Linked DNA regions of Diceros bicornis minor. The main gene of each other region encodes a partner of the protein of the gene in region 3 in a complex. Links are inferred from orthologs where the notes say so. Each region holds a gene or a part of one and is shown on either strand. Other genes may lie near its edges.

Region 1 (10,748 bases), on a different chromosome or scaffold from region 3:
GAGGCAGAGGTCTTTGCTCCACTCCCTTCTTAGGAAAACCAGAGTTCTTCTAGTTATGTCTGTCATACATACAGCGCATCCATGTAAGATTTGGTTCATAGTTCAACAAAACAGTTGGAAATTCCTATTTTCATCCCCTTGACTTTATATCTGGTGCCTTATTTTCAGGAGGCTCAGGGCACATGATGGGTGGAGCCAGGATTAGAAACCCAGAGTCCTGCCTGCAAGATCATACTCTCCCTGCTGCACCTCCAGAGAAGATCTTTTCTCAGTTTTTTTTCTGTCTTTCCTTGGCAGCCTGTCTACACCCAGGATTGTCCCCTGGCAGCAGCTAAAGCCATCCAGGGCCTGCGGGCTGTGTTTGATGAAACTTATCCTGACCCTGTGCGAGTTGTCTCCATTGGGGTTCCAGTGTCTGAGCTGTTGGATGACCCCTCTGGTCCTGCTGGCTCCCTCACTTCTGTTGAGTTCTGTGGGGGAACGTGAGTACCTTGGGGAGCAGTAAACAGGGTCATGTGTCTTTTATTAATTTGGCATTACCCTTGGGGGATGTGTGTAATAGGCTAGAACAACTCTCATTTTTCTAAGGTTGAAATGAAGTTCTCAGAAATGCAGTTGCCAAACAATATTCCCAAGGATCTTAGCATCCTAGTGCTCCAATCAGACCCCTTAGGGTCTGACATTCCATTTCCTGGGTTTGTGATGAAATGTTCTTCCTAGGAGAGGTTGAAAAAGCTTATCTTAACATCACATAATTGCATGCTCTTGTTCCCTGGGCTGATCCCAACAAGAGGGCCTATGAGTTCAGGATTCAGCAAGGCTGTGGAGTGCTTATCAAGCTTCTGATCTGGTCCTAGCCCCTTTGCATTCCTAGGGCTTCACTTAGCTCCCTTTGCCAGCTTGAGCCGCATCTGGGCAATTCACCCTTTTCTCAGAGCCCCTGAGTCAGGCCACACAGTAGACCCAGTTCACTTGGGTTTGGCGGAGCCACTGGTTTCTGCCAATTGAGATACCTCTATAGCCCTTGGGGTCTTTTTTTTTTTTTGTGAGGGAGATCAGCCCTGAGCTAACATCCTTGCTAATCCTCTTTTTGCTGAGGAAGACTGGCTCTGAGCTAACATCTATTGCCAATCCTCTTCCTTTTTTCCCCAAAGCCCCAGTAGATAGTTGTATGTCATAGTTGCACATCCTTCTAGTTGCTGTATGTGGGACGCGGCCTCAGCATGGCTAGAGAAGTGGTGCGTCGGTGCACGCCCGGGATCCGAACCCGGGCCACCAGTAGCGGAGCGTGCGCACTTAACTGCTAAGCCACCGGGCCGGCCCCCTTGGGGTTTTTTTGAGACAGTCATGGTGGCCTGGGAAGTTCCAGCTTCCAAAAGAAGCTTGGTGAAAAGAATATTGTTAAGGCCATGGTAGAGCCGTTTCAGGGCCTCCTGAGGCCTCAGGCAAGCAGGGAATGGGTGGGCATGTGGAGGGTTGGGTAGGGATCTGGGAGATCACATTCCAGGCCTCCCTCTGCCCAGCTAAATTGGCCTTCAAATGAGTCCCACTTCTGCCTTAATATCTCTTTACATGACACTCTTTAGAGCACAGGAAACAGCTTTCAAAGACTATACCACCTTCACAGAATCACTGTGAGAGTTAATGAGCATTTGAGGTTCTCTGAGCAACTGGAGAATAAAACCTGTTTGTTTAGGGGGTTGTGGTAAGATTTTAAAGGTAATCTCCAATATTCTCAGCCAGTGAGCAGGGATAGAAGAATATAGCTTTTGTTCTACCAAAGACAAAAATGTGAATGAATGTAGAGGCTGCCAGTAGTAATATTGTATGGGGTATTAGGGATTACAAAGCACTTTCATTTGATCTCGTTTGATTTTCACATCTGTCCTGTGAGTGAGAATTATCCCCATTTTATACCTGAGAAAACGGAGGCTCAGAAAGGTTGTGTCTTGCTCAGTGTCACAATGCTCTCAGCCCCAGGCCTTCTCTGACTCTCTTCCCCTTCCTAGCCAGAGCTGTATTCTGAAATTCCATTTTCCCACTGTCCCTGGGGAAGCTTCCCTGGGAGCAACTACTTCACAGGGCTTGTGCCCCCTAGCCAAGGGCTCCCAGGCTGCGGTAGGAGGCCAGGGCCCTGGGCTTCCTCATCACCATGGACTTTGTGTTCTGCATCAGGCACCTGCAGAATTCAAGTCATGCGGGAGCTTTTGTGATTGTGAGTGAAGAAGCTATTGCCAAGGGCATCCGGAGGATTGTTGCTGTCACAGGTGCCGAAGCCCAGAAGGTGAGCAGATCAGGCTGGTTTGTGGCTTATTTGAACAAGGGAAGAGGAGCCCAGTCTGCAAGTCCATAGTGCAGACAGTTATGTGGCTGCTGCAGTCAGAACTGCAAGTACAGTACTACCCTCGAAATATCCTCAGTTACCCCCACCTGGCAGGAGAAAGCCACCACCACACAAGACTTCCGAGCTATCTTATGTTTAATCTTTAAAAATATATGTAAATTCTGCCATCTATTCCATAATATATCCTTGTGTAGGAGGGTCAGCCATAGTTTTGCTGTGGCTTCCGCTGCCCCTAGCACTCACCCACATCTCCCTAGGGGTACGTGCCTAATTTGAGATGCGTGGAGGACAGAATCAGTTGCTCCAGGGGTGGGGACTATGGCCTGTGCCTGATGCGTGCCGAAGCCTGAAGGGGGGTGATTTCATGGGGTAAGAAGGGCTCCTGACTCACAAGTTCTCGGTCACTCCCTGAACCTGAGTTAGTGCAGCCTTTCTGCTGACCAGGCGTGAGGTAGGTGCCTGGGGCATGAGGCTGCCAACACTTGCTCTCTGAAAGAAGAGAAGCTTCTCATGTCCTGGGGTGTGTTGTTCTGTAGCCTGCCATTAGTGCTTGCCACAGTTGTTTACAGACAGAATAGTGAGCTGAAAGTTACCTGACCTGGACTTGACAACGCTGATTATCCCTCTCGCAGGCCCTCAGGAAAGCAGAGAGCTTGAAGAAATCTCTCTCTGTCATGGAAGCCAAAGTGAAAGCCCAGACTGCGCCCAACAAGGACGTGCAGAGGGAGATTGCTGACCTGGGTGAGGTAGGGGCAGCCTCCCTCTCTCCCTCCTGAGTCCTCTGAGTGCCGGGTCCTAGGTCTGATGAATCAGAAATTCCCTGTTCTTGAGGAACTCTCAGGTCCTGATTCTCACTGCAGTGGGCCTTTGGACTGACTGCTGTTGTCCTGCAGCCTTGCAAAGGGGACTCCATGGATCCTGGCCTATGGACCCCTGAAACCTCCTGCTACCCCCCATTACCGATGGCAGGAGAGCCCATTCCAAGCATGAGTGGGCACCGGTATAGAGAGTTGGGGGAGGTGCCGTGGGTGCCCACTGTTTCCAGGCCTCATGGTGTTTGTTAATATTCAGGGGCTTCCTGTTAGCCCATCAAAGGCTGTGTTCACTGCCTGCTAGGGGCCAGGTTTTATAGGGGATCCCAGCTCTCTTTATTCTGCCCCTTTCTCTCTACCCCTTGTTAAAACTATTGCAGTTGCTCATGAAGTGACTGCTCTCAAGGCCAGTGGGTACCTTTTTCTTCTCTGTTTTCTCTCTCCTTCTGGATACTAGTCAGGGAGGACTCTGGTATTCAAAGCCAAAGGCATGGAGTGGGCTGAAGCCTCACATCCTTGCTCCTTGTGGTCCAGAACCCAGTGGTATTCTCGTTCTGGTTCCAGGCCCTGGCCACCGCAGTCCTCCCCCAGTGGCAGAAGGATGAATTCCGGGATAATCTCAAATCCCTGAAGAAGATCATGGATGACCTAGACCGGGCTAGCAAAGCTGATGTCCAGAAGCGAGTGAGTCCTGGCAGTGCTGGTGGCTGGAAGGGAGGATTTACCCAGCAAAGGCTATGCAGACTGCTCTCTGGGTGTCGGAGTCTGGGCCTGTGACCTGAGGCCTCTCTTCTGGACTTCCTTCCTTGCAGGTGTTGGAGAAGACAAAGCAGCTCATTGACAGCAACCCCAACCAGCCCCTTGTCATCTTGGAGATGGAGAGCGGTGCCTCGGCCAAGGCAACCTAGGGGCTGGGGCTCCAGACACCGCTCTGCGCCTGTCCACTGCTTGTCGCCTTTTCTCAGGGTCTCATCAGCCCTCTGGTGGCTGAAGTGTGAGCTTTTGTGGCTCTGAGCGGAGTGGCTGCCTGAGGGCCCACTCTGGGATTGAGGTCAGGCCGAGCCCTGGAGAGATCTGGTGGCTGGAGAGCTATGGCTCCTGGAGGTAGAAGGCAAACCTCAGAGGCAGAGCGTGGGCAAGGCCTGTACTTGGGTCCTTCTCCATACAGGCTCCTGGGCCCAGCACCTGCTCTTAGAAGGGGGTGGGCGTGAGGGGTGGGGGGTGCTCTGAGAACTGAGCTCCGCAAACTCGCTGCACTTGTGGAGAGCATGACTCCTCCCCAGGGCCATGGTCTGACACCAGGTTCTCCCCGCAGGCCCTGAATGAAGCCTTGAAACTCTTCAAGACACATTCCCCTCAGACGTCTGCCATGCTCTTCACAGTGGATAATGAAGCTGGCAGGATCACGTGCTTGTGTCAAGTCCCCCAGGTCAGAATGCCCCGCAGCCTTGTGCCAGTGGGAAGTGGTGTCTGTAGCTTTTCTGAGGGAGCTTGGTTTTTCTTACCGTTGTTTGCCAAGACCCGTGTATGTTTGTGCAAGCCCTGTTACACATGCCCACCTGTGTGTCACCTTCTCCGGCATCCCTTACCCTGAGGCCCTCTTCTTGGTGGATATGTTTAACTGTGTTGGCTGCTACCTGGCTTTGCCATTCAGTATGCCTCGTCCTGGCTGTGGTACCAGCTGTAGGATCTGTGTCAATGTTGGCAGCATCACCTAGCACAGTAGTGGGTGTCTGTCTACCCCATCCTTTTGCTTTCTCTCACCTCTCCATGTCTCCCTTAATCCTGTCCTCTGCCCTGACTCCCACATCCCCTTCCTGTCTTCCAGAATGCAGCCAATCGGGGTCTGAAAGCCAGTGAGTGGGTGCAGCAGGTGTCAGGCCTGATGGATGGCAAAGGTGGTGGCAAGGATGTGTCTGCTCAGGCCACAGGCAAGAACGTGGGCTGCCTGCAGGAGGCGCTGCAGCTGGCCACTTCCTTTGCCCAGCTCCGTCTGGGAGATGTAAAGAACTGATGGGGGGGACAGCTTCCACTGGGAAGCGTTTCCCCTTCACTTAGGTGCATCCGTCCAGCCAGGAGCTCTCCCTCCACCACAAGGACATTTGAATCTTGGGATCTTTAAACAGCGCCATCTGTCTTCCTAACCCAGCAGTAACTGGAACTTACCTAGGAGCCGGCCTGTGACTCCATGCTCACATTACATTTCTGCCCTGAGCCCTCCATGTCAGCGCCATCTGTCTAGAACCACTACTCCAGGATTGCTATTTATCATTGTCATGCTCGTGTCTATAGATAGTTTTCCGTAGACCTGAGGCTCTGGGTCTGCAGGGAGGAATCATTTTTACTGCAAAGAATAAAAGGACCATGTGCAATACTTGATGATGCTGTGTGATCTCTAACCCCCTGCCACCGCCCCCCCCCCCCCGCCAGCCAATAGGTGCCCCCTGTGTATCAGCGTGGCTCCCTGGGTGTCTGTGGAATAAATGCTGTGGCTCCAGCTGGCTTCTGGTTGCAGTCCTCCGCCTAGCCCAGACCCAGACCCCTGAACTTTGGGAACAGCCCCTGGGATTGCCTCAAGACGTTTGTGGAGGTGGCCCTCAGGACAGGTGGGGTCAGGTGGAGAGAAACATTAATCGTTCAACAGAAGATGATCCCCAGGGTTACTGGAAGCAGAGAGAGGCTCCTTTCTTGGAACCTCTCCATTTCTTAGGCCTGTGTCCCTCTTCTTCTTCCTTTTGATGTTGAGGTCGGGTGTGAGGCCAGAGGCGTTCTCTGGTACAGGAGGTACTGGGGTGCATTAGTTGCCTCCCTTCCATTGACTGCCCCATCATTCCTAGTTCTTTGACCCAAACATGGACAGTGAGCATGAGACCCTGCCCTGGCCCTGAGTGCATTCACCCAAGTCTGAAGACAGTGGGTTTGGAGACAGTAGTTTGAGGGGAGGTTAAAGGTACCGCTTGCCTGTGCCAGCTCTGGCTGATTTCATGTCCCCGGGGTAGAACAGGCCAGCCCTGGGGCCCAGGGTCCCTCTCAGCCCTGCTGATGTGGAGGGAGAAGGAAAGGCAGGTCTATGCTGGGAGCAGCAGCAGAGAGCAGCTGTCACAGGCAGGCCTGGAGGTGAGGGGCTGTCCTCACTTGGAGTGTGAAAGAAGCAGGCAGGGGGAGGCGCAAGCAACGAGCCACATGAGGAGCGTTAGCGATACAAAGAGCTTACACAGTCCACTGCGGGAGACAGTTCCATTCACTCATTCACCAGGCATTTATGCCAGCAAGAGCACTGAGGATACAGGAGTGAACAAGACAAAAGGTCATTGCCCTCTTGGGCAAGGCAGTGGGGGACACACATAAAATGGTCACACAAATAAGAGCAAAATTAAAATAATTACAACCTTTACAAGTGATAGGAAAAAGACCTACGCCCTGGGATTGCCCTAGCCCGGGAGGCTAGAGGTCAGCCGGGCCGGCCCAGGTCCCACTACGGCAGGCCTGCCAGTCCATTCATCCATCAATCCATTCAGCTCTGGGCGTCCTTGCTGCGGCCCCGTGGCTCGGCAGCTCTCGCCGTTCTCCCTCCAGGACGGCAGGGGGCGGGCGGCACAGCCCGCCGGTATCCCGACAGCCCTGGCGCGGGCGCGCGGCTTTAAGAGGGCGGAAGAGCCGGCGCGCGAGGCCGGGCCGACGGGCGGAAGCGGCGTGGGTGCCAGCCGTCGCCATGCCCGGGGACCATCGTCGCATCCGCGGGCCCGAAGAGTCGCAGCCGCCGCAGCTCTACGCAGCCGACGAGGACGAGGCGCCCGCCGCCCGCGACCCGACGCGACTGCGGCCCGTGTACGCGCGCGCCGGGTTGCTGAGCCAGGCCAAGGGCTCGGCCTACTTGGAGGCGGGGGGCACCAAGGTGCTGTGCGCCGTGTCTGGTCCGCGCCAGGCCGAGGGCGGCGAGCGCGGCGGCGGCCCGGCCGGAGCGGGTGGTGAGGCCCCAGCCGCGCTGCGCGGCCGCCTGCTCTGCGACTTCCGCCGCGCGCCCTTCGCGGGCCGCCGGCGCCGCGCGCCGCCGGGCGGTGGCGAAGAGCGCGAGCTGGCGCTGGCCCTGCAGGAGGCACTTGAGCCGGCCGTGCGCCTGGGTCGCTACCCGCGCGCGCAGCTCGAGGTGTCGGCGCTGCTGCTGGAGGACGGCGGCTCGGCCCTGGCCGCCGCGCTCACGGCCGCCGCGCTCGCCCTGGCCGACGCGGGCGTGGAGATGTACGATCTGGTGGTGGGCTGCGGCCTGAGCCGCGCGCCGGGGCCCGCGCCCACCTGGCTGCTGGACCCCACGCGGCTCGAGGAGGAGCGCGCCGCCGCCGGCCTCACGGTGGCGCTCATGCCCGTGCTCAACCAGGTGGCCGGGCTCCTGGGCAGCGGGGAGGGCGGCCCGACCGAGAGCTGGGCCGAGGCCGTGCGCCTGGGCCTCGAGGGCTGCCAGCGCCTCTACCCCGTCTTGCAGCAGTGCTTGGTGCGGGCCGCCCGCCGGAGGGACGCTTCCACGGCACCGTCGTGAACTAGAAGCCTAAGCAATGACGGACGCCGTGGACTGAGCTGCCGCCGTCCCCGAAAGGACCTGCGCCGTCGGCTTCCACACTGCGCCGAGCTGAGAACTCGGAGCACGGGAGAGGATCTGGGGAGGTGCGCACAGAACTGATGCTCTGGACAGCTGTGTTGGAACGATTTTTTACAAGCTGTTCCGTTAAAGACACTCTCTACTTGAGCTGGTTCCCATCTACGACCCAGTTGAAGAAATCTGCGATGCAGCCTGACTCCCAAGTTGGAAAAGACTTCAGCTGGACTTAATCTGGAAAACGGGACCTGGAGCTATGGTCTTGTAAGGGGTGGACCTTATGCAGGCCAGCCAGTGACTCCTGCCTGTATAATTGGGCTGCTTTTGAGAGAATGGACAAGGGGGCTGTGAATTCTCACTTATATCTGAGCTAAAACAAAACAAAAACCGTTTTATATCTGAAAAAATCTTTTGTGGTTCTTCTTGGTACAGGATTTAAAGGAGCAAGGCTTTTCTGAGCTGGATAGTTTGTTCTTGGACCTCTGGTGTCAAGGGCTTGGGACAGCATTGTCTTAAATGTGTCCTGTCCCTTAGACTAACACGAGCAGAAGAGACAGGCTGAAAAGGTTGATGCAGGGAAATGTATTTTGGAGGAGGAGAAGCTGCCCCTCAAGTGCCAGAGTTGGGCCACTGCTGAGGTGTGACAAGAGTGGGGAGGGTTGTATGGCCCCAGGAGAGCTCCAGGTGCACCCCTCTAGCCTCTGGTTTGGTGCTGGGCAAGACTACAGCTCAGGGTTGGGTAGTTGGGAAGGGTTTGGCTCGGGATGGAAGTCAGATCCCACCCTTCCTTGGCCATATGCAGAGCAGCACAGCCTGGGACCTCCTCCACTGGTGGTAAGAAGTGGGAGCCCAGGCTGGCTTCATTATCTGGTGCCCTGTGTCCAGTCTTGGCTCCTGGGAGAGAGCAGATGAACTGCCAGGAGTGAGAGCTTCTGGATGTTGGAAAACCAGATGCAGTCTGGCCATTCTGTAGGGCAGAGCCAGCCTGGCTGACTGACCAGAAGGGTGGGGTTATCTTTGTGTGGCTCCTCAGCCCCTCGGGTTTGTGCTCAGGTCTGGATTGGAGGAAGGCAGGGCAGCTTTGTCCTTGCTCTGCCCCAGCTTGGTATGAGCTGCTGAACTTTGTCTCAGAGGCCTGCTCGGCTTCTCTAGGGAGGGCTGGCCTGGGGCAGCCCCAAGGACCGGAATGAGACTCAGAGACCACACCAAGAACCCCTGACCAGGGAAAAGAAATGCAGATTTTATTTTTCCCCTTCTGATATAATACGTTTCCAGAGCAGACCTGAAATACATAGTATCACAGCAGCAAGGGACAAGGTAGAAACAGGACATAAAAACGATGCCTCTATTCTGAAGCATGGCTTTGTAGGGTGGATGGGGAGTCGGGAACTAAAAGGGGTTATGTGGGGCACATGCCGAGGACCTTAAAACTCAGTTGCAGACTGGAAGGGGGACTGTAGGAACAAGTATATTTCCTCTGCACCACTGGCTGGAGAAAGCTGCCTAGGTCAGCTGCTGTAGGATGCTCCACACCTAGACAGGACTGGCGGGGTCTCAGGAGGGGAGAAGAGCAGCCAAAGCAGTACCTGCAGTCAGAGAGACTGACTGGTGCTCCCAGGGGTCCCTGTCCAGCTGCCCCTTGCAAGACTGGATGAGGATGGTGAGGTGGTTCTAGGCAGTTGCAGGCCTCCTCCCTCCCATCCCTACCAGTCCCCGGGCTATCATCTGGAAACACGACTTCCAAAACTAAAGCCACCCTTGTGGGGAAGCTTCCTGGCTGGTCTGGCTGAGCCGTGCCTCCACTACCATTGCCTTCACTCCAGAATGGGTGACTCCGGTTGCACAGGTGCCATCAGGAGGCCTTTGAAAAACCACACAAGGCAAGGAAGGGGGCCATCGGGGAAGGTGCCTGGAGCTAATGAGCCCGGAGGGATTCCAACCTACTGGCCGCCCTCCTGGTCCGAAGCATGATTCTTCACCTGTAGGAAAAAGAGAAGCAGAGCTTGGGTCAGGGGGGCTGAGAGGCACCGTACGACTGGGAAAGGGAGGGCCATCTACTAACATCTCCCAGTCTCCCCTTACCCCCACCTCCCTTTCTTGGCAGGTTTGGCAGTTCAGTGCTGTTCTAGATTCTTCCTGAGTCCTGGGAACCCAGAACTATCAGACAAAAGAAAGCATTCTCTCCATCTAGCTGTCTTTTTCCAGATGTGACTCTGGGCTGGTCAGTAGTGAGAGCCCTCTGGAACCCAGCAGGCCAAGGGGCAGAGCTGGCGGGTGGAGGAAGGGGAGCTCGTCACTGCCAACCCCCAGCAGCCTGAGCCTTGCTGAGGTGGCCCAAACAGCAGCGGGTCTTGGTCCGCCTCAGGGACCACCAATAGGGAAGGAGGATATGGTAGGACAGGGAACATTCTGGCCCTTTAATGATGCACACAGGGTTATTATTAGATCCAGGTGTGGATATTCTCCATCCAGAAAGGTCTGTGCCACAGCTTCCCTGGGGAGCGTGGTACAATGCAGACAGTCTAAAGACCCTAGGGGCAGCAGGTGGGGGCCCCGGGACAGGAAAAGGACAGAAATCTGAGTTTTAACAAGCTTACCAAGTGATTCTCAGGCAAGGGATCTGGGGCCACGAGGCACACCTGTGACATTCCCTCCACAATGCTCAAAGCCCTCCCCTAACCCCCTCCATCAGGATGAGATGGTATTTCAGCCCAGAACTGGTCCAGCTGAGCTGACCAAGCCTGAGTTGAGAGGGGATAAAAAGCAGGGCAGGGCCCATCTTATCCTGAGCATTGCCTGTGGTTGAAGTCATGCCTCCTCTCCCCCAACCCACCACTGTGGGCTCCCACACAAGTCCGAGTCCCTCCCTGGCCCACAGGGAGGCCACAAGGAGGGGGAAGATGGGAGGAGGTGCCAGGCCACTCACTGCCTCCTCCGGGTCTGTGCTGTCCTCAGAGCTGTGTGCCTCTGGATGGGCCCTCTGGCCCCCGGGCTCCTGCTG
Region 2 (10,550 bases), on a different chromosome or scaffold from region 3:
AGCCTCCATACCCCTGGTGGACTCTGGGCCCTGATACAGAGGGTCTGAATCCCAGCTCCCCCACTTTCTCGTTGTGTGACCTTGGGCAAGTTACTAGAACTTCTTTGTGTCCCAGGTCCTCATCTGTAAAACTGGGACAAAAATAACAGTATCTGTCCCACAGAGTTGTCATAAAGATTAAATGACTCAGTAAAGTGGCAGGCAGCTCAAGAACTGGTAGCTGTTTTTATCAAATGCTCTAACTCTTCACCCTGGCATTCAGGGCCTCCCCAGTCTGGCCACAGACACCCCTTCTCTCAATCTCCTACTGGTACCACAGGCACATACACAGTGTCCTTGAGTCAGCCAGATGGGCTCTTTACTGACCCCATACCCATCAGGAAGGCCACCCAGAATAGAGATTAAGTTTGTGAGCTCTTAAGTGTCAGTCCGCCTGGGGCCAGCCTGGTGGTGCAGCGGTTAAGTTCACGTGCTCTGCTTTGGAGGCCCAGGGTTCGCAGGTTCAGATCCCGGGCGCGGACCAACGCACACTTATCAAGTTATGCTGTGGCGCCGTCCCATGTAAAGTAGAGAAAGATGGGCACAGATGTTACCCCAATCTTCCTCAGCAATAAAGAGGCGGATTGGCAAACAGATGTCAGCTCAGGCTAATCCTCCTCAAAAAAAAAGTCAGTCTGCCTGGGTTCAAATCCCTTGCTGAGCAACCACAGGAAAGTGATTCCCCTCTTCAAGTCTCTCCTTTCTCATCTGTAGAATGGAGAACACCTCATGGAAGTGTTGCGAGGCTTAAACGAGATCTTGTGTATAAAATGGTTAGCAGAGTTCTTGTTAAGTCGTACAGTAAATGCTCAAAAAAATGTTGATTATCATTTCTCCCACCATGTCCCTGCTCTCACCTCTTTACTAGAATGCCTCTTCCCCCATCACCTGGCAAACTGCTCCACACGCTTCGATGCCCTCTCCACTGCCGTCCTAACTCCCTCCACCAGCCCAGACTGACTCACTCAACAAACATTTGAGCACCTGCTTCATTCCAAGCCCTGTGCTGCGTTCTGCGGGACCCAAGAGATGCAGCAGGGAAGACAGATGCTGAATAGGTACCAATGAGGGTGACCCATATTCTCCTAGGAGAAGCCAGGGAAGAGTAGAAAGAGGATCAGGCTTCTCTGAGTAAGTCATGTGACAGCTGAGGCCTGAAGGATGTCTAGGAGTCAGGGAAAGAGCATTCAAGGCCAGGGAACAGAGCACACAAAAGGCACAAAGTGAGGAATGGCGTGTCCCCCGTGGAACCTGGGAGTTCCGAGTGGCTGGAGCAGTCCTGTGGGGAGCTCACATCCCTCGGATCAGAGGAGGCTTGGCTGGCAAAGCCCGGGAGAAGCCTACGTGCTCAACGGATGTGAACCGATTTGCTTTCTTAGCCCTTGAGCTAGCCTTGGACTGGTCTCAGGATTGCAACAGTGCCCCTTGCTTCAGCACTTGCCAGGTGCCAGGCTGAGCTCCGCATGCACAGTTGCACTGAGTGCTCAGAGCACGTCTGTGAGGCAGGCATTCTTTACTACTGCCTTTGAGCAGATAACGAAACTGAGGTTCAGGGAGGTACAGTAACCTGCACCAGGCCACAGAGCTAAAAATAAACAACTAATTAAGTCAGGACTGGGCTTCAAACCTGGGCAGGGCTGACACCCAGACCCCAAACTCACAATCCTAACCCCAAGTGCCACTGCTGGTCAGGTTTCCACACATCTACTTCTTGACTTCCCACCGTCGCCAGTTGGCTCTGAGCTCAGTAATCGCGGCTTCACTTCCCATAGGAGCTAAAGAAGAATGACTGAGGTTTGCCATGAGCTGGGTCTCACGTGTGTGTGCTCAAGTGTGTTCCCCTCCCTCCCACCTTTCATTGCAGTGAAGTAGCCGTCCAAGGTTCCAGCGGGGGAGCGGGAACATGGATGCATTTATGTGCATTTGTGGTTGTGAAGAAATAAAGGAAATTACAGCCCCAACAGCAGGGCAGGCCCAGGCCTGACACCATCACAAGCAGATTCCCCTCCGCCTGCGAGGGAAGCAGTCAAACTCGCAGACCAGGCTTCTCCCTGCAGTGTGCTCACATGGCCGGACCTTTCCATCTACGGGGAGGATCCGTTTGTCCCTGTCTGTCTCTCACACACCTCACAAGCTCCAGGAAGACAGAGATCACGCCCAGGTCACTTTACAGAGCGGGCACTCAGCAGGCCATTACTGAACGAACAGATGAATGAGCGGTTAAGTTCAAGGCTTTGGAGTCCGACTGACCTGGGTTCCAATTTTTTATCTCACTGCATGGCCCTCTGCAAAACACTTTGCCTCTCTGAATGTCCTCATCTGCAAAAAGGCTGCAGAGGGCTGTGGCGAAAAGTTCCTAAGAAAAGGCACACACAGAGTTCAGCATAGACATGGGACATATTATATGCCCAAAAGCTGGTAGAAGGGGAAAAAACAAAATCAAGGAAGGTTTGAAAACGGGAATAAGAAAAATGCCTGGCACCTCAGAAGGAAGAGGGGAAAAGAGGATTGGGGAGAAGGACTGAATGCCCCTCACACTGGATTGTGATTCCAGACTGTGGCCCCAGCAGACACTCTAGAGGGAGACTGAGGCCCAGAGGAGACACAGGCAGAACAGGACGAGGGCTGTGGTCTGGGAAGGGGCTCTAGGAGGGTAGGTCAGGGGATGACATGGGTCAGGACAGGGTCACAGGGCTCAGAACCAACCAGGGTGTCAGGGCAGGACTCTGCCTGTGGAGGCTGCAGAGTTACCGTCAGGGCGCCTTGGCACACCCCACATACAAGTTGGGCCTTGGCTGTACACCTTCTTTCCTGGGCCTGTAGAGATGCCGGTGGTACCCAGCCCAGGATTACCGTGCTGATTCAAGGAGCTAGGGCCCTGAGGAAATGTCCCATTAAGGCAGTGGGTGGTAAAAGGCCTGCAGAGAAAGGATGTGACTCCACCCATCTCTTCTTGTTTTTGGTGGGAGGGTGAGTTTGTCCCACTGGCCAGCGACTTACAATGGCAGAAGCTGTGCAGATTTACACAAAGCATGAAGCCACATCCTCTCCCACTACGCAGGAAACAGGCCTGCTCTGGGTGGTCTGGTAGGCCCAGCAGGTAGTAGTGTGGTCCCTGGTGGAGCCACTCCCCCGGGCGCCAAGGTCAAGGGCAAGGACTCCGAGCAGACCGCACCTCCTGGCTGTGTAACTAAAGCAGCCTGAGCCTCAGTTTCCTTGTGTGTAAACTGAGGGTGATGGGAGTACTTATCTCATTAGGGGTCACGAGGATTATGAGTCGATGTATATAGAGTGCTCAGCCCAGTGCGTGGCACATAAATGCTTGATAAATATAAGTAGCTAACAAGTGTATTTGACAATTATTGTTGTCAAATAGGTAGATAGTGAATATTTGCTCCAAATCAGGCCCTGAACTGAGGGCTGGAGACGACAGGGAGGGACGGATAACAAACACTGAACACACAAGTTACAATTAAGAGAGGCGATCTCAGAGGAAGCAGGATAGTTCAGTAGTTAACCACAGGGCAGGGTAGGATGAAGGACTCTAGTGCTAAACTGCCTATGTTTGAATCCCGGCTCTGTCCCTTTCCAGTTATGTCACCTTGGGCAGGAGACAGTCTCCCTGAACTTGCATCCCCTGGTGGAAAAAATCAGAATTTCTACTTCACAGGCTTTTGGTGAGGCAGGTATAAAGCGCCTGCTGCAGCTCTAGGAGGAACCTTTCACTAGCCAGCATCAGGCGGAGGATGAGGAGAAGCTTCTCAGAGACGGCGGAGTTAAGGCAAGGCCCCACTTGCTTCTAGGGATGATTGCTGAGAAACCCACTCAGGACTCCTTAACAATCGAGTTTTCTTCCTCCTCTTCTCCCTGAGCACTAAAACATCTGCTAGCAACTAGACGGGGGAGGGAGGCAGAAATCAGGCAAATGCCTCCAGGGCATCAGGGTGTTCAGCAAAGGGCATGGGGAAAAGAGGGGCAAGCAGGCAGGGACGCAGTAAGGCAGCCCATCCTTCCTCCCAACCCAGCTTGCCCCAACAACCCAATCTGTCCCACTACACGACAGCCTTCTCACCTTCCCCCAAGACACTATCTCTTGGCTTCACTTTGACTGGCTAACAATGCACCATCCAATATGGCAGCCACAAGCCACCTGCTATTTAAATTTAAACTCACTAAAATTAAATGAAACAAAAACTTCAGTTCCTCAGTGGTACTAGCCACATTTCGAGTGCTCAGTAGCTACCGTACTGGACCATCATTGCAAAAAGTCCTATTGGACAGCCCTGGCCTAAAATCTTCTTTGATCAAATGCTACTACATCTTTCCTCCGCTCAAAAAAAGTATGCCTCTTTTTTAATCTTAGAAAGAATAAGTGGGAGAAATAAAAGTGGAGAAGAAAAAGCAGGGACTTTAATAAATTAAAAATATATAGGTGGCCTAGTGCTTAAGTTCAGCATGCTCCCCTTCGGCAGCCTAGATTCAGTTCCTGGGCGTGAACCTACACCACTCTGTTAGCAGCCATGCTGGGCTGGCGGCCCACATACTAAAAAGTAGAAGAAGATTGGCATGGATGTTGGCTCAGGGTGCATCTTCATCAGCAAAGAAATATATATATAAGCAAAAAGTAAGGACTCTGAAACACCTCCTCCTCTCCCCCACCTTCACCCCAAAAAAATGAAGGAGGGAGGCAAGAAGGAAGGGCAGCAGGGAGACCAGCCTGAAAGGAAGCAGATTTAATCAGCTATAAATGACCTTTCCATACTCCTGCCCCAGTCCGGTCCCGCCCCACTGACCCAGCCAATGGGCTCCTGGGACTGACATCAGCTGTGGAGAATCTGACTGCTCCAAAAAAAAGGGACAGAGAACAACCAAAAGGCAGGAGAATGCTCCACCCCCATCCTGCCCCAGCAACCTGCTGCAAGTTAACACCGGCACTAGATCCTCCCACATATTACTCCTGGCCCATCCTCTTCACCTTCCTGCCCTGTCTCTCTCCCTACCTAGGGCTTCTTCCCAGACTCCATCTTCCCTTCCTTATAAACTGGGGATCAGAGTGTCAGACCCAACCCCACAAGATCTTGACATATTTCCCTCCAGGGCCCTCACCAATCCAGGCCCTCCCAAAGTCACCTCCTTTCTTCACATCTTCAAGGTCGGTTTCTGTCCCTTCCCTCCATCCTCACTTTCAACAGCGGTCAACATTCCTATATCCTTTATCATATATCAGATCCAGTTCTTAGCACTTTATTTAATTTTCACAACAACCCTATGAGGTGGCCACTGTTACCATTTTACAGAGAGAGAAAATTAGGTGCAAAAAGCAGTCCCTTGCCCAAGGCTACACAGCTGGAAAGTGGCCCATTACATATATGAACCCACATGGTCTAGCTTCACAACCCACCTTTTGAACCACTTCTCTCTTACCTGTAAAATTTTAGTTCATAGCTCTCCTGCAGCCCACTGCCTCTCTCCCTCTAAATAAGAGCTTCCAACTAGATTTGTGCTAGGGGAGCTTGCCGATAGCAGCATCAACCTAAAGGGAGTCTCACCCTTTTGACAAGAAACGAGGCATTTTTTAAGTGTTGCTAAGAAATGCGGGCAAAGTCTGGACCTCTCTCCTTTCATTAATTCAACAAATATTTACTGATCTTCTCTTCTGTAGAGTGACCAAAACAGACAAGACCCCTGTCCTGGCATTTATCAGAGAACACAGGATCAAACGATTTTTTTACGCAATTCATTTTAAAATCAGAATTGTAGCCAAGGAGCAAAGAAATACAGGGCACTATAAAAGCCCGTGACGGGGGACCTGGTCTCTCTTTTATCCTCTTTGAAGAGGGGATTTTTACCGAGAAGAAAGTCTCCCCTTTCACTCTCCAACCCCTGCGCGGAAAAGTCTCGTCTTCCTCCCAAGTCCCTCCAAGCGGCCTCCCCGGGGGTTGGGGGGCAACCAAGGAGTAAGTCCCCTTCCTCTCTCCAAGTTGTCTCCCTCCCTCAGGGCCCACAAAGGAGCTGCCTGCTTTTTCTCTCCTGAGGAAGTGGAAGTTCTCTTCCTGAGTGTCCTCTCCGAGTGGTTCTCCCAGCCCTTGTCCCTTCTGTGACAGCCCTGCCTTCCCTCCCTGCAGGGACCCCATACTCTCAAGATAGCGTTGGAATCCATAGTCCTCCTTGTGGAAAACTCCCCAGTGCCCCAGGTACTCACAGATCTAGCCAGCCCCCGAACCCCAGTCCGCCGCAGGAGCAAGAGGCCAGCCTGACCCAAGCCTCGACTTGACCCCCACACACTCGCCGCGGCAGCCGCCACCGCCATCTTGGCTAACAACCCTCGGTGACCCGCCCCTCTCCTCGGAGAGACCGGGGGCTGCCCCTTCATAAATCTGACTCAAATGCCAGTACCACCCTGCCAGCACACCACCTACTACCAGTCCTGCGGTCGCTAGGACACATAGATGGATGGATAAAACAATCTGGCTTCCCAAAATCTACTCTGATCGCCTCATTGTAGCTGTTTCCGTAACAGGCAAACAGGCAAAGAAGAGGACAACCTCACCAGTGCCTCAGGGCTTTAGGGCCCTGGGGCCTCGGGTAGGAGGAGCCCATGCCAAGGCCCGCCCCCTCTTCTCTACTGTCCAATGGTTTTCCTGAAGTTGAGAGGCGGGGTGGGCGGGGTCAGGTTGTTGGTAAACGTGGAGCCACGTGCGGGCGCCAAAGCTCGGGCTCCTGGATCGGCGCGTGCGCACTGAATACGCAGCCAGTACGCAAGCGCTAGCTTTTGGACGGAAGCGACCGTCCGCGCTGCACGTGGGATCCGGGGCGATGCAGACTCACGCCAAGATCCGTAAGGAGTCCGGAACAGAATCCGACCCTCGAGGCCCCGGCTGCAGCCTCCGGCACTTTGCCTGCGAACAGAACCTGCTGTCCCGGCCGGATGGCTCTGCCTCTTTCCTGCAAGGTAAGAACTTAACCCAGTAAATACTGCCCGGGCCGTGTTCCCTCAAGTCATAATTGTTTTGGGGCGCGGCTGCAGTGTACCATGCAAAGGAGTGCCCTCCTCCTCCTATACTAGCTGGTAAATGTCCCTCCTGGACTGGCACACAACTTCATGCCTGGCTGGATACTACCAGGTACGCCAGGGTACATATATCTCTTCCGACTAGAAGGAAGAAGATATTTCCATTCCGGTAAATAACTCTTCAGAATGAGAGCGGGGCAGACCTTTCCATAAGAATGAATACTTTAGAATAGGGAAAATTTCACCGGAGTAAATATCCCCTTTGACTAGATTCCTTCGTCTCCCACACGCACACCCTGAGTCCACACATCCCAGGCTGAGGCAAACCTGTCCAGTTGCATAAATACCCGGTAGACTGACCAGTCACCACTACCGGCTTAATTACTTCCCAGACCGTGGCAGATCTTTTACCCCAGTAAATACTTTTCAGATTGAGGGTAATGTCCCCACCCCACCAATTGGGTAAATATCCCTTTGACTAGGATACACATCTCTCCATGTGAGTAAATATCGCTAGATTGGGGCAGGTCTTACTTATTGAGTAAGTATCCCCTTCTTGTAGCTAAATACCCCTCAAACTAGACTCCACTCCCTGACTGAGATAAATATTGCCCTGGAGATAAGCCTAAGGATAACCCCCATGGATGCTTCAGTCCCCTCACTAGGGCATTACCTTCTACCCAGTACAAAGCTCGTCTCATTCATTTCTTCACTGAACATGTACATATTTGTGCTAAGTACTGTTCTAGGCAGGGAGAATACATGATAAAAAATTTTTTTTTAATCCCTGACCTAATGGAGTTTACATTGTAGTCAAGAAGACAGACAATAACTAAGTAAAATGCCATGGGGAAAAATTAGGAGGGAAGGGGAATAGAGTGTGCCAGAGAGGGTTGCAATCTTGCACAGGATGGTCAGGAGAGGCCGCAATGAGATGGTAATATTTGAATAAAGACCTAAAGGTAACGGAGCAAACCCTGAAGATATCAGGAGGGAAAGCACACCAAAGCATGGGGAACAGCAAGGGCAAAGGCCCTGAGGCAAGAACTTGCCTGGTATGTTTGAGGAAGTCAGGAGACCACCGTGGCTAGAGCAGTGGGAGGAGGTTTTGGAGACAGGTAAGGAGGCTTGTACATCACAGAAGGCCTAGTGAATGCCATGGGAGCCATGTGACATGGTCTGAGTATATTTTAATAGAATCTCTCTGGCTGCGGTGTTGACTGTAGATGGTATGGAGGAAAGGGGGAGATGATGGTGGCTCAGACCAGAGTGGAAGCACTGGACGTGGTAAGATTCTGGGGTTATTTTGAAGGTAAAACCAACAAAATTTGCAGGTGGTTTGGTTTTGGGGTATGAGAAGAAAGGGATAACGCTAAGGTTTTTCCCCAGATCAGCTGTGCTGGGGGAAGGTGAGTTCAGTTTGGAACATTAAGTTTGCAGTGCCTAGTAGATATCACAGTGGCAATGCGGACTGGGCAGTTGGACATACAAGTCTGGAATTCAGAAGAAAGACCCAATCTGGACATGTAATTCGGAATCCTCTGGCTTTAGATAGTATTTCAGGCTATTGATTGGATGAAATCACCAAGAAAATGAGTATAGATAGAAAAGAGAAGAGGTTGCAGGACTAAACCCTGGGTCTTCTAACATGTGAGGAGCTAGCAAGGTAGGAGGAAAACCGAGAGAGGGTGGTAACTTGGGGCCCAGAGAATGTGTTTGAGATGTAAGGGCCGACCAACTGCATCGTCAGTCCTACTGAGAGGTTGCATCACGTGAGGATGGAATAGACCCATGGGTTGACAATTTGGAGGTCACTGGTGACGCCATCAAGAGCTGCTCCAGTGGAGTGGTGGGGTCGAAGAAGGGAAGAAGAGAGCCAGTGGAGACAGCTCTTCCAGAGCTTTGCTGTAAGATGATCATATAGGTGGGGCAGGAGTTGAAGATGGATGTGGGTCCAAAGAGGAAAGAATTGCTCAAGAACGTGAGAGGGGAGGGTGGTCCTATGCTCAGGTGGACCACAGACAGCTCGTCTGGAGTAACAGGAATGAAGCCCCCAGCAGGATCTAGTTCTGCTTGGGTAATTTCCCCCTTTAGGGCAGATTCTCCAGGAGCCATGAGAATTCCTCAGTTGTGTGGCAGCTCCTCCTTCCAAGCCCCAGGAAAAACAGCTCCGACCCAGGCCCTCCCCCAGGCTTAGCTCTCTTGCTAAATTCAGATGCCTGGAGTTTCTTAGAACTTAAGAAATAAGGAGAAAGGTAGCCCCTTGCATGTTGTAAAACCGCAAAGCCCCAGGACCCTGGAGCAAGAGGAGTCCTTGCAGATCCTCAAGAGTATGTCCCTTGTGTGCTTCTGGCCTCAGGACCTCTGGTGAGCTTGTTAAAAATGCAGCACCCCAGAACCCACCCCACGCCTACCAAGGCTCACCCTCCACATTTTTCACTGCTTGGTGATTCTGATTGCAGGCCAGTGTTCTGAAGCTGTGCTAGAGCTGCAGAGTGTAGGCCCAGCTGCAGATTAGGATGACCTCTGACGCTCCCAGTGCCTGAGCCCCACCCCTGAGCAAGTGAATTCGGATCTCTCACGGAGGGGCCTAGGCATCAGCATCTTTTCAGGCTTCGCAGTGATTCCAGTGTGCAGCCAGGGTTGAGAACCACTGTGTTAGTGGGTTGCAACCAGCATTCTTTTTATCTGGAATAGAGTAGAAAATATCAGAGTGTAGCAAAGCAGTGATGATAAGAGCTGTTTTGTGAGCGCTCTGTTCCATTTACACACACACGGATTTGCGTGAGTTTTGGGACTTGCTGTAAAATGTATTTCTTATTGGGAGTTATTGTGGTCTAGTGGTTAAAATTCAGCACTCTCACCGCTGCGGCCCGGGGTTTATGTCCTAGTCAGGGAACCACGCCACCCGTCTGTCTGGCGGTTGTCATCCTGTGGCAGTTGTGTGTTGCTGTGATGATGAAAGCTATGCCACTGGGATTTCAAATACCAGCAGAGTCACCCATGGTGGGCAGGTTTCAGAAGAGCTTCCAGACTAGACAGACTAGGAAGAAGGATCTGCCCAGCCACATCCGAAAAAACTGGCCATGAAAACCCTATGAATAGCAGCAGAGCATTGTCTGATACAGTGCCAGAAGGCGAGAGGATGGCTCAAAAAGACAGAGAAGGTCCACTCTGCCGTCCACAGGGTCACTAGGAGTCGGAATTGACTTGATGGTACTAACAGTAACAAATTGGGAGTTATAGTCAGAAAAGTTTGGAAGCCGCTGCTGTAATCAGTCTCGTCATTTTGCAAATGGTAGAGAAGTGAGCAAAATCAGCTGAGGTTACAGAGCCAGTAGGAGGCAGACAGGACCAGAAGCGAGGCCTTTATTTCCCGGGTCTTACCTTCTTTGCCCCCGTTCATTCCCACTCTGGGAAAATAAGCAGGAGTCAGGACCCACCCCCAGATATTTGTCCCTTTTTCAGGTGTCCTGATTGCTGCAGAGTTGGAGACAAG
Region 3 (10,878 bases):
TGCTCCCAAGTACTCTGTCTTCCATTAATCCACAGTAATTCTCACCCCATATTCCCAAATAAGAGCCTAGCATACAATTCTCTTAACACCTGTACATCTCTAGGAAAGATAAGACACTACGATGCTGCAGTGAATTCATAAATTTGTAAGTATGCCATGAAAAGAAAAACACCGTGAAGTCTCTTCATTACAGAAAAGTTGGTCACTTCTATCGAAACAACTCTTTGTCAACTAATGCCCTTACAAAGCAAGAAAAGAACTATAAGGTGCTTTAATATTAAAGGAGGGGTTTGTTCATTTGTCCATGGCACATTTGAGTAGAATAAACAAGTTCCTAGTTGCATTTACAATTCCAGCCCATGACCAGGAAGAGACTTACCCTTGCTGGAAGAAGGCAAAACTGACACAAATGGGCATGTGGTGGACGCTCAATGGTACAGCATCACGCTCTTCAGGTGTATACTGTTTGAAAATAAATGTTTCAATAATCAGTCACTATGTTATGAACGTACAAAAAGTCATCTTGCACATCAAATATTAAAAACATGAAATTCCTTTACTCCTCAGTAAGCACCTAAATAACTTCTTTTATAATCATCTGTTTCACTTTGCCACTCAGGTTCCTTAAAACTTTAGCATTGGTCAAAAAGCTTTATTGAGGTATAATTTATATACCATAAAACCCACTCATTGTAAGTATATGATTCACTTTTTAATAAATTTATAGTCATGTAACTATCACCACAATCCAGTTTTTTAACATTTCCATTCCCCCCCAAAATGCCCTTGAGCCTGTTCGTAGTCAATTCTCACTTGCGCTCCCAGCCCCAAGCAATCACTGATCTTACTTCTGCTTCTATAAACCTGCCTTTTCTGGGCATCGCACATAAGTAGAATCTAACAATTTGTAGTCTTTTGCGTCTGTCTCCTTTCAACTTCACAGGTGTCATCCATCTTGCAGTATATATCAGTAGTTTGGTTCTTTTTACTGTTGAATAGTCTTCCATGGTAAGGATATACCACATTTTGTTTTTCCATTCCCCAGTTGATGCACCTTTGAACTGTTTCTGGTTTTGGGCTATTACAAATAATTCTGCTATGAACATTCACATAAGTCTTTGAGTGAACATACACTTTCATTCTTCCTGAGCAGATTCCCAGGCACGGAATGCTGGGCTGTATAAGTTAAGACTTAACTTTTTAAGAAACTGCCAAAATTTTCCAATGTGGCTGTACCATTTTACATTACTGCCAGTAATAACTCAACAGTATTTTTTAATTGATATCTTTTTTTGTCTATTAATTGCTCTCTACTTTTTTACTTCCTTATACCAACTCCCTTCTCTAAAGGAAGATGTCTCTATTGTTAATAAACCTCTGTCTCTGTCTGAAAGTCTTTAAAGAGTCTGTTCCAGTCTAATGCCTAAAAGCAGCATCATGAATGACTGCTTAGAGAATTTGGGCATCTGATGTTTCCTTTTGCAACTTCAGGTCTCAAACTATCACCACGGTGCACTTTCATTATTCTAGCGTGTAATTTATATAAACTGACATACTCAGCACAAAAGAGAAAGACGATGTAAACAGTATAGGTCAATAGTTTTCAAAATGCGCTCCTTGCACCAGCATCATCAGTATCACCAGGGAACTCTGTTAGAAGTACAAATTCGTAGGTCCTATCCCTATACTCTGAGGGTGGAGCCTAGCCATATGGTTCAACAAGCCTTCCAGGTGTTTCTGATGGACTTTTGCCACAGAGTAAGAATAAGCATCTCACTGTGCTTAGAATCAATGTATTTTTCACAAAGTGGCCCCTAAATATAAGACAAGTACTTCATCTAAGTGCTCAATCCAAAGAAGAAGTCATCTAGTTCTATTCTAGAAAACCAGGCTAAGGAGTGCTTTCATTGACAGACACTTCCATTCAGGAGATTTAAGAGATTCCAAGGGCAATTTCGACCACATGCAGTTTCTGCCTTATGAACAAATCTTAGAACATACCTAATTGCCATCTACAAGACCTCACTAATAACACGTTGCTTGCCAGGCTTCATCACAGGAATGAGCCCGGCTCACAACATGGGAGCTTACCAGTGTGACTTCATCTCCTTGGACGGAGACATCAGGTCTTCGGAAGTGACACAAGGCTACAATCGCAGCAATGCTGGCAGCATCAATAATATTTCCGTCATGATTTAATAAATGTAGGTCCACACGTATTTGCCAAACCTGATTGTGAATTTAAAACAAAAATAAATCCTTACTTATCATAACCAGTGGCTATTTACAAGGAAAAGTAACACTGTGTGCAAATTTTTCTCTTGCTGTTAAAATATGCAGTTACTCCTTCTATCGTAAAATTAAAAATGTATTTAGAAAAATGTTAAGCAAGACCAACATCTGAATTACCAATAGTTCACCTTTCTATGAGTCATTTGACAACAGTAAAATATATACTCTAAATAAACAGAACCACTCTACATTTAATACTAAGATTTCCCTAATTCCAAGCCTAATTATATTTTTATTGTTTCCTAACTTAAAAAACTCAAACTCTTAGGTTTTACTTGACAGTATTTATGCTAACCTTACAAGTAATGCAAATAGGAAGTAACATATTCAAGTACAGAATGTGGAAAGGTTAAGTAAGTAGCTTTTCTGGAGTCAAAAAGACGGTCAAATACCCTATTCCAGAATAAAGTTCTAATATCATCATGCAGCACAATTTATGGAGAGTAATATTTCCTATTCCGACGACCATTGACTCACTGTGTGGACCTATATAAGTCAATATCCAAATGAAGGATTTAATCTGTTCTTCAGTTTGTTGTCCATAAAGAAGGAAAACATTACTCACTTCTAACAACTCACTTAAATAATATAAGAAAATAAATGAGAATATATGAAAAACCACAAGTGCTTGGAATAAGACATTTTTACACAAATCCAAGTTACTATTTTCACCAATGTTTTTTGTCCCTTCAGAGAGAGACAATACAAAGTTCTACGGGCAGCAGTGAGGAACATCTGAAGTGAAATGGACCAGTATAAAACAGAATTAACTGAAGCTCTGAGAATGAAGGCATACATAGAGGGATCCATGAATCAACAATGCTCATCCTAAGATTAAGAATTCTGGGGTCTGGCCCCGTGGCTTAGCGGTTAAGTGCGTGCGCTCCGCCACTGGTGGCCCGGGTTCGGATCCCGGGCGCGCACCGACGCACCGCTTGTCCAGCCATGCTGAGGCGGCGTCCCACATACAGCAGCTAGAAGGATGTGCAACTATGACATACAACTATCTACTGGGGCTTTGGGGAGAAAAGGGGGGAAAAAAAGGAGGAAGATTGGCAATAGATGTTAGCTCAGGGCCAGTCTTCCTCAGCAAAAAGAGGAGGATTAGCATGGATGTTAGCTCAGGGCTGATCTTCCTCACACACACAAAAAAAAGCATTCTGGGCATGTTCCTCACCTTTTCACCAGCAACAACACAGAGTGATTCAGTGTCTATACACTTCGAATTTCGTAGACATCTTTCCAAGAGTCGATTCAACTTCACCAAGAGATCTGACTGCCTATGAAAATAGGAATGGGCTAATGTCATGAAATATAACACCTGGCATTAAAACACTAGCTCACTGCTGTTAGGTTCTCTTCTGGCTAAAGCAGCTTAAGAAAAAGACTTAAATACCTGCCAGGTTCAAAAGCTGGGGCAGCCATCTGAGAGAGTTCAAGGTTAAAAAAAAGAATACCTTCGGTCGCCCTATTGAGTTTTGGAGAAACAAGTTCACAGGAAACCTGTCCAAGGACTCTGCAAAGATAAAGTACAAATCTGTTAACTACATATATTTCCTTTCCAATTAAAAAAAAAAAAATCTAAATCAGATACCAATTAAGATTCAATCTTACTCTGAGTAATAACATACTCAGCATGATATATCATTAGAGATTGAAATTACATATAAAGTATCGTCATAGAATATATACAGAAATAAAACTCACACTGGCATACCCAAAGGGATGACGGGAAAAAACATCTCTTATTACAGTATTGACTATTCCACAGATTGTTCTAAAAAAACCAATAGCATTTACTTCTCTTTTTTAAAACAAATATTTACTGATAATAGATGGCATGAAAACTTCAGACTTCTGAAGAGTTTTCATATGGCATGGTTCTCGAACATTATCTAAGCAATATCCTCACAAATTCCAAATGAATATTAAAAACCTAAATCTCATGTCACTCAGGAAAAAGAGGAAAGCAGGAGCTATCTAATGACAAGAAGTGTAGGAAACAAATTCAGTGCAATCACTGCTGGGTGTATATATGATTTATAGAGATCAGAAAGAACTATGCCCTACTCATGTGACAGAAAACATATTTATGATTAGAAATTTAAAGTGACTATAAAACAAAAAAAAATCTTGCATTAAAGAAAATATGCTTATTTTTGGCAGGTAAACAAAGTACTGCCCAGACTTCTTAGCTGCTGGGTAAACAACTGAGCCTATAAGGTTCTTTTAAACGTCTCCCTACTGAGCTTATATCTAATTTGAATCCTTTGTTACCTTGTTTTCCCAAGTTCCACAATACAGCACCCATAATCTGTTCCAAACGAGATCTTGATGTTCCTATAATCATAGGTTTGTCTGCCATCCAGCCGCTGCAAGCACAACGTTCATTCATTTACTCCTTTAGCAAATATTTACTGAGCAGCCACTTCGTGCCCTGGGCTACACACTTGGAGGAAAGTGGGATCCCAACCACCCCCCACAGGAAAGTGGGAACTAGGTGCCCGGGCGCTGACAGTCGCTGGGGTGACCTGAGCCTTGAAAGAACCCACCGGAGCCAAACACAGCCTTGGGGATCGGGGAAACGCACTGCCGGTTCCCCCGGGGCTCCCGGGCCTGCGCGGGCCCGGCCTGTGCGTCCCAGCCGGAAGGCTGCGGGCGGCCGCGCGACCCGAGCGCCCACGCAGCGCCAAGTTCCCCGCGGCCGTTTACCTTCTTCTCTTCGATGGCGCGGAGTAGGAAGCGGCGCTCGCAGTTTGAAAGTGGCGTCTCCTTCATGCCGTCGGGTCACGGGGCCCACGGGCACCGGAATCGGTGGGAAAACTGAACCTGAGGCTGTACACGCGCGCCCGAGTCGCTTGGCGGCGCAGGAGATTTACATCATCAAAGCGCGGCGGCTGAGCTGGGAAAGCACAGGTGGGGGGCCGTCGCTAGTGCGCAGGCTCAAAGAGAGGATGGAGGAGGGTGAGCTGGCTGGGAGGAAAAAGCGGCGTGGGGAGGCGAGTTTCTGAACGGAAATCTGTATGTCTTGTCGTAAAGTGTAGGGGAGAAAAAGACCCCAAAATAACCATCAGTGATAGAAATTAATGTCACTGTAGCGCGCTCACACTTCACCCTCTCCGCAGTCCTAGCGGGGTAGGCTAGACGGGCATTACTGCTCTTTTCCAGGTGCGGGAGTTGAGGTTAGGCCACGAGAAAGCTGCGGAGGCGGAGTTGGGAGCAGATTCAGTGCGGAAACGGTGGAATGAAGCGGCTTGAGCGGACAGGAGAGGGGAGAAGCCAGTTGAGAGTCAGCTGGGGTGTTGTTGCGGGCTGACGGTGAAATCTGGTAGACCTGAGAAGTTGCCAAGAACTGAGAATAGTCCCGCTTTGTAACTAATGATATAACTGGCATTGGCTGAAACAAAATTCGCTCTTTATTTCTTACGGTCTCTCCAGTTGTTTTAAGCCGATAGACTTATTTTTATGGGCATAGAGGAACCTTAGTGTGTCAGTGCTGTCAACCGCTGGGCTTTTTTGGAGAGGCGGTATCGAGTAGTTACAAGCAGGAACTCCGAATACCCGGGTTCAAATTCTGACTGCCCTTCCCAGTTCTGTGACCTTGGCCAAGTTAGCCTATGTGCTTCACTTTATTCATCTGCAAAACAGGAGTGATAAACCTATTATTATGAGGATAAAAACGAGTTAATACATGTAAGATGCTTAAAACGGTGCCTGGCATGGAGTAAGCGCTATTTAAAGTGTTTGCATATTATTATTTTGTTTCCATTTGATTTAGAGGTGATAGGCACTGTAACTCCTGCACAGGCTCCATTCCGCTTCTTTTGTCTCTTCTCGCAGGTTTTTTTCCTACCAGTGATACATTGTAGTTTCAGTTTGTACCGCTCGCAATCCATGCGTTCAATAAATTACTTAGATTATTTGTGAGGGCCTCCTGTGTCCCAAGAATAATTCAAATGCTGGAGAAACAGAGAGTGAACAACATCCTGTCCCTCAAGGAATTTATATTCTTTTTGGAGAAGACAAACAATAAAAACCTAAACAAATAAATAAAAGTTTCACACACTGAGTCCTATCTGGGAACGGGAATGCGATTTTAATAGGGGTGGTTGCAGGAAGAGGTCGCTTGGTAGAGGTGAAATTTGAGTTAAGTAAATCCTTACTGATGAGAAGGAGTGCCGTGATACCATCTGGAAGAAAGGAAAACTTTCAGGCAGAAGGAGCCACATGAGCCAAGACTGAGATAGGATGAGCTCGACATGGTCTGGAGACAGGGGTTGTGAAGGAGGAGAGTGTACAGAAATTATGTCTGTGCTTTTGCAGTTGATTGATTTTCAAAATAGGCCAGGGGATTACGTGGTCCAGGCCATGTAAGTCCTTTAACAACATGGGTTCGTGTTTATAGTACAGTTTCACAACAGAACTCCTGGCTAAGTTTGTCGTTTCAATCCTTGGGTTCTCTTAGTGGGCATTTCCTTCAGAAATTAAATAGGCCTTTATTGAAATAGTCTGTCCTTTCCTGGGCGGCAGCTTGGGAGTGGAAAAAGAATGGACTTTGGCTTCAGATAAATTTCAGCTTAAATGGACTTTGGGTGAGTTAAATAATTCTTTTGAATTTCGGCTTCTGTATCTTTAGGTTGGGAATAATAAGTGTTAAGTGGTCTGAATGAAAGCATCTAACACCATATTTTGGACAGGATAGCTGTTCAAATGTTAGTTTCCTTCCTATTTTGGCTTGGCAAAGGCTTCCGGTGAAACTGCCCAAATTCGCCATGTCAGATTGCTGTTCTGAGATTGCTGCTTGATTCCCTTGCCTTTGCTTTCCTTCCGCTTTTGTAGAATTTCCACCGTTCTTTGCTACTTTATGTGTTATACTATTGTAATTTTAACACGGCTGCATTTGCCTTTCATTGGCGTTCATCCAAAGGTGTACAACCCATCTCCACTCACATCTATGTATCAACATAAGATGAATTTACTTCACAACCTTGTTTTTACTAAGAAACTTTTGAAACACCCAAGGGACCTTTGTTTTATGCTTTCAAGGGTAAAAAAAAGTTTTGAAGTTTGAGAAGAGATTCAGATAATGTACATTCTGTTCTTAGAAAAGAATCAGTTTGAGTCAGCCTATTACCCTGGATGATCTGTCTAAATATAACCTGGTTTTTAAAAAAATATTTGAGTATATGTCTTCTCTCCTCTTTATTGGACATCTATTACTTTGTCTGACCAGCACCCTTCTGTTTCTTGGAGAAATGCCATTTCCTGACCCCACGTGATTCTGGTGTTAATGTTAATAGCAGGCACAGGTGTGACGAGGCCCTGCTGATCATGGAACTCTATCCCTCTCTCCTCATTGACTGTTCATCCAGGCAGGGCCAAACAGAGTTTCTCCATCAGTCTTGACATGTAAATTCTGGGAGAGAGTAGGTCTTTACTTCTCTAGGATTATAAACTCTAAGGACCATGCAAGTCTGGAACTGTCAGGGGCCATCTTGCCACCACATGGAGAGAACCTGTTTGAAGATGAAGTCAGAGGCCAGCAGAACTGAGAAATCAGAGAGAGAAGTGGACCCCTTAGTAGAAATAGTTTGCAACAGCTCATGGACTTCCCAGTTGGTGAGCCAATACATTTGGGTTGGTCTTTTGTTAAGTGTGTCCAAAAGAATCCTGACTAAATACACTTCTACTAGAGTATAAAGATCCATGTCTTATTAACCTTTATAGCACCCACTGAGACTGGTAGTGTACCTTGTGAATAAATGCATGAATGGACTATTACAACATGTCTGGTGAAAGAAATTAATGGATGGATGAATAAATGGAAGCTTACGTTTTAGTTACCATGTACTATGTCTGCTGTACAATTTGTCTATATAGAAATTGATTTTCCAGAAATTATCCTGCAAAGAAATAGTGCAAAATGTTAAGATAGTTATATCTGGGTGATGGGATTGTGGGAAAATTTTTTTTCTTTTTGAATTTTTTTTCTCTATGAATTTCTTAAATCTTCTGTAAGGCACATGAATAGCTTTTATCATCAGAAAAGTGAAAAAAAAAACTAATTTGAAAAGATATTTGCACCCTTATGTCATTGCAGCATTATTCGCAATAACCAACACTTGGAAACAACATAAGTGCCCATCAATGGATGAATGGATAAAGATGTGGTATATACATATATACAGGTGTATATATATGTATGCGTATATATATGTGTGTGTATATATAGGTATATACATAGGTGTACACAATGGAATACTACTCAGCCATAAAAATAGATGAAATCTTGCCATTTGTGACAATGTGGATGGACCTCGAGGTTAATATGCTAAGTGAAATAAGTCAGATGGAGAAAATCAAATACCGTATGATTTCACTCATAATGAGAAAATAAAAACAACAACAACAAAAACACACAGATATAGAGATTAGATTGGTGGTTACCAGAGGGGAAGGGGGGAGGGCAAAAGGAGTAAAAGGGTACATGTGGATGGTGATGGATGATAATTAGTCTTTGCGTGGTGAACACAATGTAGTCTACACAGAAATTGAAATATAATGATGTACACCTGAAATTTATATGTGATAAACCAATGTTATCTCAAATAAATAAATAGTTACAGTTTCCTTTTCTTGTTCTGACACATTTAACTGTTTTTTTATTTAAAGGAATTTTGGCTTTCAACTACCTTTTTTTTTTTGTGAGGAAGATCAGCCCTGAGCTAACATCCGTGCTAATCCTCCTCTTTTTGCTGAGGAAGACTGGCTCTGAGCTAACATCTATTGCCAATCCTCCTCCTTTTTTTTCCCCAAAGCCCTAGTAGATAGTTGTATGTCATAGTTGCACATCCTTCTAGTTGCTGTATGTGGGACACGGCCTCAGCATGGCCGGAGAAGCGGTGTGTGGGTGCACGCCCGGGATCCGAACCCAGGCCACCAGTAGTGGGGCACGCGTACTTAACAACTAAGCCACGGGGCCGGCCCTCAGCTACCTTTTAACAAAGACATTTGTTTTGTTGTTTTTCAAGACTCAAACTGGAAACCACATAGTTAATAAGTGAAAAGATTTTAAGCGTTGACAACTGCTATAGTCTGAATGTTTGTGTCCCCCCCAAATTCATATGTTGACATCCTAAACCCCCAAAGGTGATGGTGTTAGAAGGTGGGGCCTTTGGGAGGTGATTAGGTCATGAGAGTGGAGCCCTCATGAATGGGATTGGTGCTCTTATAAAAGAGACCCCACAGAGCTCCCTGGCCCCTTCCACTATAAGAAGATACCACAAGAAGTCTGCGACTTGGAGGAGAGCCCTCACCCAACCATGCCGACACCCCGATCTCGGGCTTTCAGCCTCCAGAACTGAGAAATAAATTGATATTGTTTATAAGCTACCCATTCTGTGTTCTTTTGGTTTTGGCAGCGCAAATGGACTAAGACAACAACGGAACACTAACAAGTTAGATGTAGTATATATTTCCCTTCCATATTGTTTTCTTCGTATTATAAATAAGAAACCCTAGATTATCAAGTTCATCTCTAGTTTCTCCTGAATAGTTAAAAGAGCTTCCCTTTTCATTCTTATCGTTTCCTATGCTCAGAAATCTATATAATGATCTCTCATGTCATTATTAAGCTTTTCCTATATATTTAGAGGAATAAAAATTATCAGTCTTTAGCTTATCATAAGTACAACAAAGTGAGGGGGGAAGAGAGTCAGGTGACATTTTGATTTCCACTGCATTCGGACTGTTGTTACATGTGGGTAATAATCCTGGACACAGAAAATTAGGCACATGGCTCTATCTCAGGCACATGACTGAAGTCCTTTGATCTATTCTCATCTGTAAAAAGAAGTTTCCTGCTCATTGATAAAAATCTGTAGGAAATTATATAGTTTAATGTCTAAACAATAAATATGATCCAGAAAATTTCCATGCCAATGAGATTTCTACAAATAAATAGAATTAGAAACAATAAAATAATAAAAGTAGAGTTTGTTAACTGGGTTAAACTTGTAACTCAACTATTATGGGGTGTGTGTAGGCAGAATAATGCCTCCTCCCCTGAGATGTCCTCATCCCAGTCCTAGGAGCCTGTAGATATGTTACCTTGTATAGCAAAAGTTATTTTGCAGATATGATTAAGGATTTTGAGATGGCGAGACTATCCAGGTGGGCCCAGTGTAATCACAAGGGTGCTTATAATACAAAGGCAGTAGAGTTAGGTTCAGAGGGATGGAAGTGGGGAAGGAAGGAAGGAGAGAGGGGGAGGGAGGCAGGGAAGAAGGGAGAGAGGGGTGAACGAATGAGACAGCAGAAGCAGAAGTCAGAGAGGAGAGAAGATGCTATACTGCTGGCTTTGAAAACAGAGGAAGGGGCCATGAGCTAAGGAATGTAGGCAGCCTCTGCAAGCTGGAAAAGGCAAGGAAATGGATTCTCTCCTAGCGCTTCCAAAATGAAGGTAGCGTTGAGGACACGTTTTAGACTTCTGCCCTCCAGAACTGTAAGATAATAAATTTGTGTTGCTTTGAGCCATTTAAGTTTGTGGTAATTTGTTACAGCAGCAATGGGAAACTAATACAGATT

Evidence for each region.
Region 1: EXOSC9 (region 3) and EXOSC6 share a complex: the UniProt entries of both Homo sapiens proteins name them as parts of the RNA exosome core complex. The link is inferred for Diceros bicornis minor from reciprocal best matches to the Homo sapiens genes EXOSC9 and EXOSC6.
Region 2: EXOSC9 (region 3) and EXOSC5 share a complex: the UniProt entries of both Homo sapiens proteins name them as parts of the RNA exosome core complex. The link is inferred for Diceros bicornis minor from reciprocal best matches to the Homo sapiens genes EXOSC9 and EXOSC5.

What each region holds. Positions count from the first base shown.
Region 1 is NC_080771.1:24,926,138-24,936,885, forward strand, and holds the start of EXOSC6 (exosome complex component MTR3), read left to right. Parts: upstream 1-6,836; 5' UTR 6,837-6,868; coding exon 6,869-7,690; 3' UTR 7,691-10,748. Other genes in the region: AARS1 (alanine--tRNA ligase, cytoplasmic), read left to right, coding at 298-482, 2,176-2,284, 2,977-3,090, 3,721-3,840, 3,969-4,055, 4,472-4,585, 4,985-5,170. UniProt on the Homo sapiens protein: Non-catalytic component of the RNA exosome complex which has 3'->5' exoribonuclease activity and participates in a multitude of cellular RNA processing and degradation events.
Region 2 is NC_080773.1:15,380,745-15,391,294, reverse strand, and holds the start of EXOSC5 (exosome complex component RRP46), read left to right. Parts: upstream 1-6,492; coding exon 6,493-6,624; intron 6,625-6,750; coding exon 6,751-6,991; intron 6,992-10,550. Other genes in the region: BCKDHA (2-oxoisovalerate dehydrogenase subunit alpha, mitochondrial), read right to left, coding at 6,242-6,412. UniProt on the Homo sapiens protein: Non-catalytic component of the RNA exosome complex which has 3'->5' exoribonuclease activity and participates in a multitude of cellular RNA processing and degradation events.
Region 3 is NC_080750.1:15,124,831-15,135,708, reverse strand, and holds the start of EXOSC9 (exosome complex component RRP45), read right to left. Parts: upstream 5,157-10,878; 5' UTR 5,071-5,156; coding exon 5,005-5,070; intron 4,665-5,004; coding exon 4,570-4,664; intron 3,809-4,569; coding exon 3,689-3,808; intron 3,573-3,688; coding exon 3,470-3,572; intron 2,230-3,469; coding exon 2,092-2,229; intron 463-2,091; coding exon 380-462; intron 1-379. UniProt on the Homo sapiens protein: Non-catalytic component of the RNA exosome complex which has 3'->5' exoribonuclease activity and participates in a multitude of cellular RNA processing and degradation events.